2 linked regions of the Ovis aries genome follow. The protein of the gene in region 1 binds, or shares a complex with, the protein of each later gene. Links are inferred from orthologs where the notes say so. Each region holds a gene or a part of one and is shown in the gene's direction. Other genes may lie near its edges.

Region 1 (3,953 bases):
TTGAATATGTTACATAGTATGGTAGGTGGTAAGTACTGTGGTGAGAAAGAAAACAGGGGCGAGGTGGAGGATTTGGGAGCAGTGGAGGTACTGGGTGGTGCAGGCCACCATATGAAGCAGGGTCATTGGGTGGCCCCCGAGAGGAGCTGGGAGTTCAGCTGCGTTGCAGGAGCTGAGAGAGTGCTCCATTTTCAGGCTCTCAGAGAAGAGCCTTCAGAAGAGCCATGTTACTAATAGTGCCAGATTATTAAACAAATAGTATTTGGCCCCAGCTCTTTTTGTGAGGTGCTAGGAAACCCACCCCCTGCCCTCATCAGGGCCTTGGAGACTCCCAGCTCTCTCCCTCACATTAGCTGCAAGACAGGGTACCCTTGAGGCTGTAATCGTCACTGTGACACCCTCCTCACCCCCACTGTGGTCATTCCCTGGGCTGTGGAGGGGTCCCTGGAGTTGCTCTGATATTGATGCAATAATTGGAGCCCAGAGTGAGGAAGGGACCAGCCCAGGGTCAGTGGGCATCGAGCATAGCTGCTCCAGCCTCCTGAGGTCAGGCTAGACTGTCAGTGATTCGTTTGTACCAGATGGTTGCCTAGCAACAAACACTAGGCCCAGTTGACACATTCTTTTCTGTCGAAGAGTCTTGGCATGAAGGAGGCTGTGGGCTATAGCAAATTAGGCTCTTAAACACTTAAAAGGAATGAGACATATTTTTTAAAATGAAGTTTCATAATAATTTTTTTATAGTATCTCAAAGGCAGAATTAGGCACTTGGTTCCATGGCCCTGTCTATAGTTTCCTATAAGTGCCCTGGAGTTAACTAGTACCCTTTCTGGGGTGGGTGCTGGTCACTAGGAAAGATAACAAAAATTGTTGCTTGTGTGGTGGTGGTGATTTAGTCGCTAAGTCATGTCTGACTCTTGTAGTCCCGTGGACTGTAGCCTGTCAGGCTCCTCTGTCCATGGGATTCTCCAGGCAAGAATATTGGAGTGGGTTGCCATTTCCTTCTCCAGGGGATCTTCCCGACCCAGGCATCAAACCTGGGTCTCCTGCATTGCAGGCAGATGATTTACCAACTGAGCTATGAGGGAAGCTGTTTGTATAGAGCTTAAAAATTTCTGGAGCGTTTTCCCATCTATATTATCCACCCCTGCAACCACCACCTGCTCTCCATGTTAGCATGTTGTCTGCATTATCAGTGATGAGGAGACACATCTCTGGAAATAGGTGGATCCGGATATCCTGGCTCCAGACTCCTTGTGCCACTCTGCACCTTCTTCCAGCTGCTGGCGGAGGCTGATCGAGACCAGGGATGTGGTCCAGAGTCCCAGGTTTTCTCCTGCAGCTGCTCTATTGTCTGGTATTAGTCAAAGGAAGTCCTGCATTCACTCTTAACAAGCGAAAAGACTAGTCGTGAGGGTGGCTACTTTCTGAACAGGAGGGAGCAGGTTACCCACTAGCTCTAGCTTCAAGGAGGGTGATGCAGAACAGATAAGTAAGGGGCTGGCATTGGGTGGGTGCAGCGAGGCCCAGCATGAAGACATCAGAAGGAAGCATCTGCAGGTCTGGGTCATGGGTGGCCTTCAGAATCACTCAGATGGCTGCTTATTTGGGAAAGAAAGCAAATATTAGCATTGGCAACCATGACCTCCTCTGGGTTTAGCTGCCCAGTGTCTTAGGTATTAGAATGAAAACCTGCTCTGGAATTACTTCATGGTTGTACATTTACTTTTTAGAATAAAAGAATCATTGTTTCTTCTTAAAATCTTCATAGGAATACAGATTTTTCCAAGACTATACTTTTCCATTATATCTGAGAAAGGACATCCCAAAATTTGGAATGCCTAAAAAAGACTGCTTTATGAGTTGCGGGATCCGGAAATGGTCTGCTCATTCATGTTTTCCTGGCCAGATGACCTCCCACAGTCTGTCTCTGAAGCGTTTTCAGACAGTCTGATGATAACCCTTCCAGAAGGGCTGCTGGAGTTAGTCCATTACCTAGGTCTCTGATTAGATTGCTTGTGAAAAGTAAATCATTTTTAAAAGTAGGCTGGGTCGTTACACCCTTGTAACTTTTCTGTTATTTTGCACTTTTCCGTGGTTAACTTTTAAAAATCTTTGTTTACCCAGATGAGGAGAAAAGGCGACCTGATATTTTCCATGCATTAAAAATGGGTAAGCACTTTAGAAAATCTTTGGATATTTAAGAATATAGTACTGTTTCTCCCAAACTAATATTGATAGTCCTTTTCAAGGCCACCCAGAGTATTTGGGAAAGAAACAGGTGTTTTGTTGTTTCCTGACTCTGGTTTCACCCAGGGAGGTTCAGACCCTGGAGGCTGGTAGTTATGGTGCTTTGCATACAACTTCCAGATTATTTTCTCAGGCCCCCTCTGCCTCTCCTGCTAGACCCTGTGGCTATGTCCTAGCTTTTACTTACCTCTGAAATGCCTGGCTGCCCACCTCCCTACTCCACTCTCTGTGTAATGAAGAGCTATTTAGTCTAGTATTGCCTCTCCTGAAACAGACCTCCACCTCCAGGAAGCCCACCCTGATCCTCACCTCTTAGGGAGACCTGGGCTCTCTTTCTGCATGTGCATTGCCCCTCATCATCACTCTTCTTTTAAGACAGCAATAACACGTCTCTTTTTCAGTAAAGCTATTTGCGTGCTTGCCTCCATCCCTCATAGACTGAAGGATTGGAGAACGGGGGCTACCTCTGACTCATCTTTGTAGCCCCTGCGAGGCGCAGCCACCCAGTACAGAGGCCAGCTCAGCACATTTGTTCTGGGAAGCCACTGGGTAAATCATCCTGCAGTGCCAGGCCCGTGGATCACCAGGACTTCTGCTTCTTTGGCAGGAAACTTCCAGCTGGTCAAAGAGATTGCTGATGAAGACCCCAACCACGTGAACCTGGTTAACGGGGATGGGGCCACCCCACTGATGCTGGCAGCTGTCATGGGACAGCTGCCTCTGGTGCAGCTGCTGGTGGAGAGGCATGCCGACGTGGACAAGCAGGACAGTGCCCACGGCTGGACAGCCCTCATGCAGGCTACCTACCACGGGTCAGCACCAGCCCCACCCCCTCAGCAGGGAGCCTAAGAGGATGCCCCGGGCTGAAATAGGGTGCCTAATGGGTTGCTGGTCCTGAGACGCTACAAATAAGCGCCCCACACATTGTGAAGATGCTGAGACACTCAAAACGATGCAGGCTTGGTCTGTCCTGTGTTCCTACCCTTTGTGTCCAGATTTCCTATTGCCTCGGCAGTGTTACCTGGTGCTTCCGCATCCCTTCTCGTCCAGTCACCCCTCTCCCTTCCTGGACGCCTCCTCCTTGGGGCAGGCTGACCAAGGGGCAGGGATCTGCATATAGCCTTGCACCTGCTCGGTGGTGATCTGATTCCAAATTAGGGGCTCCGTCCTTGCCCCGCTTCAGGTGATGAGAGCACTCTCCTGTGTCCTCTGAAAGTGGCTTTCTTCCTCATTTGATCCTCTGACTTCCACATCAAAGACTCTGGCCTGCCGGAGGACTTTAGTCAGGTCCCAGTGAGGGGCAGAAGGGGTGGGGTCTGTGTGTGGTCCTGGGAGCCAGTGGTTTTGGGGCAGAGCCTTGTGTTTTCATTTTATTCGTGGAAGGAGCACTCAGGCTTTGATTTCTGTCGTGACTGCCCGCAGGGCAGGGAACAAGGGCTGGGGGACAGCTTTCCGAGCCCTCTTTCACGTGCACAGATGCTGCTGGAGTTAAGGCACCGCTCTTGTTGCCCAGGAGCAAGGCCACACTTTCCCTTTCAGCTGGTCTCACTCTGGCTTTTTGTTTCTTCCACAGGAACAAAGAGATTGTCAAATATCTGCTAAACCAAGGAGCTGATGTTACTCTTCGTGCGAAAAATGGGTACACAGCCTTTGACCTAGTGATGCTGCTGAGTGATCCTGGTGGGTTGTTTTAGGAAAAGCGT
Region 2 (4,599 bases), on another chromosome or scaffold:
TTTGATATGTGGATATATGGATATGATGTACAGAATGATACATAGATATATGTATAGATATATGATAGATATACATATAGATATATGTAAACTATATATGTCCAATATAACATAGATACTATTATTATCTACAGACAGAATTTGTATCAAAGTCAGAGGGGATTTCAAGCTACTACTTTTTACTGCCCCCTTACAAAGGAACAGAATAGACATTTTGGAGTCCCCAGAACACTTTTTTTGGAGTTGACACTCAAATTGTCAGGCCAACACACCCCTTTTGTATCCCAGAGTCTTAACAGACCCCCTTCAGGGGTCAAGGAGGCTTAGAATTGTGGGGTGATGGCACTTCAGAGCCGGCGTCTTGAGAGTACTTGCAGCCTGAGAGGCCTCTGTCACTATAAAATGGGAAGAGAACACTCCTGCCCCAGCCCTGGCCCCCAACAAGGGAAGCAGCAGGCGAGGTGAATGGGGACTTTTTGCTTTTTCTGTGCTCACAGGAGTGGGACAGGAGCTTGGTGTACCCTGATCTGGGAACAGCAGGGCAGGTCTGGTATATACATCACAGGATGTTCTCCGGCTGCAGGGCAGATCAGAGGGCAACAGAATCACCTGGTTGAAGGGGACAACCGGAGACTCTTAAGTTCTCCAGGAGGACAAAGTAACAGAGAAAGAAAAGGCATTACAGGTTGCGGCAAGAGCACCTAAGAGCTCAGAGGAGTGAAAAGTACCTAACGTGTTGGGGGAAGAAATTTTCACTTGCTGGAGTTTGCGGTGCAAACGGACCAGACCGTGAAGGGTCCTGAACGCCAGGTTGAGGAGCGTCGCTCACCGAACGGGCTGCCGAAAGCCACACAAAGCAGCAGCCCCAGTCTGGCATAATCCCGACCGTGCCTCCACGTCCGTTTCTTGGCTGCGGCCCGTTAGCCCCGCCCCCGCCCAGCCCCGCCCCCCACGCCCCCGCGCACCGCCCAGTCTCCGGCACCGCCTACCGCCCCGTCTCCGGCACCGCCCACCGCCGGACCGCGGGTTGTTATGACAACTGGACGCCACCGGCCACTCGGGTGGGGCTTTTAAATTCCAAAGTTCGGAAACCGGAAACCATCGCGCGTCCTCCCACCTATTCCCCAGCTTGCTTTCCCAGCCCCCACCCTGTCCACCTCCCAACAATTATCTCGCAGCTGCGGCCTCGGCCTCCGCCTCTCTTCCCGGCCTCGACAGGGACGAAAAGGGCCCGCCGCGCCTCTTCGGTCGTGTTCTCCCGCTTGGGCAGCGGCGCGATTACTAAGGCCGTCGCCGCCTTCGGAATCCCGGTTCATCAGTCTTACATCACTGAACAGCCACATCCTTCCCACCCACCCCCCCCGCTCGTCTTTCGGGACTTGGCGCGTCCTGCCGCTCCTGAAACACGATTGGTTCCCCTGGCCAGCGGAGGGGCGGGGCAAGGAGGACTCCCCCTGCTCATTGGCTGCTGTGGGCGTCACACAGAGAGCCGGGCGAGCTGACCGGAAGGTCCGGGTGCGGGACGGACGAAAAATCTACAGCGCCGGGAGAGGCCGAGGGGGACCCGCGAGCGTCCCGTCGTGCTCCGCGCCGCCCGCAACCACTTCCGGGGCGGGAGCGGGCCGCTGGGTCCGCGCGCTGTGGCGGTGACCGGCGCGGAGGGAGCCCGAGTGGGCGCGGCCGAGGGAGCGCGGCGGCCAGCGGCGGCCCCAGGGCTGCCCGGGGCCGAGGCCCAGCGCGGGGAGGCTCCGCGGCGGCCCGGCCCCTGCCTGGTGCTCGCACCTGCTGCCCGTTCGCGGGGCGTCCCAGCCCTGCAGCTGGTTCGCCGCGGGAGTTTACAGCTCCGAGGATCTTCGCAGCTGAGGAGCCGGGACGGAAAGCCACGTGCGGGGTAAGGTTACTGGGAGGAGGCGTCGGCGCTTGGGTAGTTCCCTAGGTTACCCTCCCCGGGGCCCGAGAACGAGGTGGGGATGCCTGGAGGCAGCGGAAGGCCCACGCCCCGGGGCAGGACGCGGTGCCCTCGGGCTTTTACAGACCTCCTCCCTGTGGGCGTGACGGTCACCACCAACGTCATTTGTTGTTGTTATTTACTTTGGTGTGCTTTAAAAGTAACAGATACTTAGCATTTTACCGAATGGACAGAACGCGAAGGTGGAAGGAAAATTAAAAGATCTCATTCTCAGTGCTGCTTCCTGGAGATAAATTCTAGAAGCGATAAGCAAAAGATTTTCGACAAGTATACGTGATATATACCTGTAGATGACTCTGTTCCTAAGGAATAGCCCGTGGTTTTAGAGCGTCTGGCATGGAGCAGGGTGATAAAGCAGCTTGGTCCCTGGGTATCCACGTTCTCCTTCCATGATTCTGATAGGCTCTCAGCGTTGTGCCTGGTTTCATACAGTTGAAAGTCGCTCAATCGTGTCTGACTCATGGGGTCTGACAGACCTCATGGACTGTCCATGGAATTCTCTAGGCCAGAATACTGGAGTAAGTAGCCTTTTCCTTCTCCAGGGGATTTTCTGAACGCAGGTCTCCTGCACTGCGGGCGGATTCTTTACCAGCTGACCCACAAGGGAAGCCTAAGAATACTGGAGTGGGTAGCCTGTCGGGTCTCCAGCGCATCTTCCTGACCCAGGAATCAAACCGGGGTCTCCTACATGGCAGGTGGATTCTTTACCAACTGAGCGAGCCTCCAATAAAAGAGAATATGGGTCCTACCCTGGAGGAGGCATTTGGAGTAGAAGAGACACCCCCAAAGAAGGCTGAAGGGGTGTTCTGAAAGGAGTGCAGAACTGACTGCAGCTGATTTGGATTCTTGTTCAGGTTCGGCAGCCAGGATTGTTCAGCTGCTGTGGGCAGCAGTCTGCTGCGGCAGGAGCGTGACCATCGCATTTCATCCCCTGGAACTACCAGGAAGGAAAGACCCAAGTGACCCCAGCATCCCCCTCCACCGCGATGTCGGAGCTCAGCGATGAAGCCAGCGAGCCAGAGCTGCTGAACCGCAGCTTGTCCATGTGGCACGGGCTGGGCACGCAGGTCGACCGGGAGGAGCTGGCTGTCCCCCTGGATCTGCACACAGCCGCTTCCATTGGCCAGTACGAGGTGGTGAAGGAGTGTGTGCAGCGGTAAGAGGTCCTGGGAGGCATTCCTTCCTCTCGGATGGTTGAGCGCCACCGCCCAGGTGGAGCCATCAGGAGGCTAGCGAGGCCTGGCCCACAGCTGTAGACGTTTAACCCATGGGTAGATTGTGGACTTCCCTGGTGGCTCAGACGGTAAAGCGTCTGCCTACAATGCAGGAGACCCAGGTTCACTCCCTGGGTCGGGGAAGATCTCTCAGAGAAGGCAATGGCACCCCGCTCCAGTACTCTTGACTGGAAAATCCCATTAACGGAGGAGGCTGGTAGGCTGCAGTCCATGGGGTTGCTAAGAGTAGGGCACGACTGAGTGACTTCACTTTCACTTTTCACTTTCATGCATTGGAGAAGGAAATGGCAACCCACTCCAGTGTTCTTGCCTGGAGAATCCCAGGGACGGGGGAGCCTGGTGGGCTGCTGTCTATGGGCTCGCACAGAGTCGGACACGACTGAAGCGCCTTAGCAGCAGATGCAGAGCAGCATGCCCGGCCTCCCTGCGCCCCCTGGATGTAGCCTTTCCCTTCGCAGTTATGACAGTCAAAAAATGTCTTCAGGCTTTGCCAACCATCCTTTGGGGGCAGAACCTCCCCTGGTTGAGAACTGTCTCTGTGGCTGGTGGGAGGAAGGAAGAGCTGACTTTGGGGTAGGAAGAGGGCACAGATGAGAACAAGAAATTGGAGCACAGAGGCAAACTCAAGGTAGTTTGCAGAGGCAGTGGTCCAGAAAGTGGAGTCACCCCTGAACCCTGTGATGTCCAGGGTGGCGGTTGACTCTGCTTCCTGTCAGCACTCCCCACTCTTTCTCTTGGCCTGGCCACTGGGTTTGGTAAGTCCCACATGTACGATGGCTGGCGTGTCTAGCATGTCTTGCATTTGTTTAGGAGAGAGTTAGATTTGAATAAGAAGAACGGTGGTGGCTGGACCCCGCTGATGTATGCCTCCTACATTGGACATGATACCATCGTGCACCTCCTGCTTGAGGCGGGGGTCAGTGTGAATGTGCCGACCCCGGAAGGGCAGACTCCACTGATGCTGGCCTCCAGCTGTGGCAACGAGAGCATCGCCTATTTTCTTCTCCAGGTGAGCTGCAAGGGTCTCAGGCCACTCGGCAGATAGGGAAGCACTGCAGCATGCTTGGGTAATCACTTCGATTCTTTCAGTGTAATGGCCTGGAGGGTGCCCGCCCTGTGCAGAGGAGACGTGGCCTTAACAGGCATTCTCTGTTCTCTTGAAGCAAGGTGCTGAGCTGGAAATGAAGGACATTCAGGGCTGGACTGCCCTTTTCCACTGCACCAGTGCTGGGCACCAGCAGATGGTCAAGTTCCTTTTGGACAGTGGAGCGAACGCCAACGTGAGGTCATTACCAGGTCGTCCGCAGCCGTGGGAGTTGGTTGGTCACATCTGACTCGGAGGAGGGCAGCTGTCGAGGCAGCTAGAGGCCAAAGTGTGGGAGCCCCTGCCTCGGT

What was found. Proteins that work in one complex are often made in the same cells at the same time.
Region 2: the proteins of ANKS6 (region 1) and ANKS3 are in contact, whole or in part, in a crystal structure (PDB 4NL9), measured with the Homo sapiens proteins. The link is inferred for Ovis aries from reciprocal best matches to the Homo sapiens genes ANKS6 and ANKS3. Residues at the interface, in NP_775822.3 of Homo sapiens: Glu796, Gln797, Glu798, Val799, Asp800, Glu802, Ala803, Thr806, Leu807, Asp811, Glu814, Leu815; in NP_597707.1 of Homo sapiens: Lys441, Tyr442, Thr470, Leu471, Phe472, Gly473, Pro474, Arg476, Lys477, Arg484.

The regions. Positions count from the first base shown.
Region 1 is NC_056055.1:49,050,129-49,054,081, forward strand, and holds part of ANKS6 (ankyrin repeat and SAM domain-containing protein 6), read left to right. Parts: intron 1-2,127; coding exon 2,128-2,172; intron 2,173-2,857; coding exon 2,858-3,062; intron 3,063-3,823; coding exon 3,824-3,930; intron 3,931-3,953.
Region 2 is NC_056077.1:4,380,656-4,385,254, reverse strand, and holds the start of ANKS3 (ankyrin repeat and SAM domain-containing protein 3), read left to right. Parts: upstream 1-1,602; 5' UTR 1,603-1,891; intron 1,892-2,511; 5' UTR 2,512-2,664; exon of another isoform or gene 2,665-2,823; 5' UTR 2,824-2,955; coding exon 2,956-3,125; intron 3,126-4,014; coding exon 4,015-4,213; intron 4,214-4,367; coding exon 4,368-4,489; intron 4,490-4,599. UniProt on the Homo sapiens protein: May be involved in vasopressin signaling in the kidney.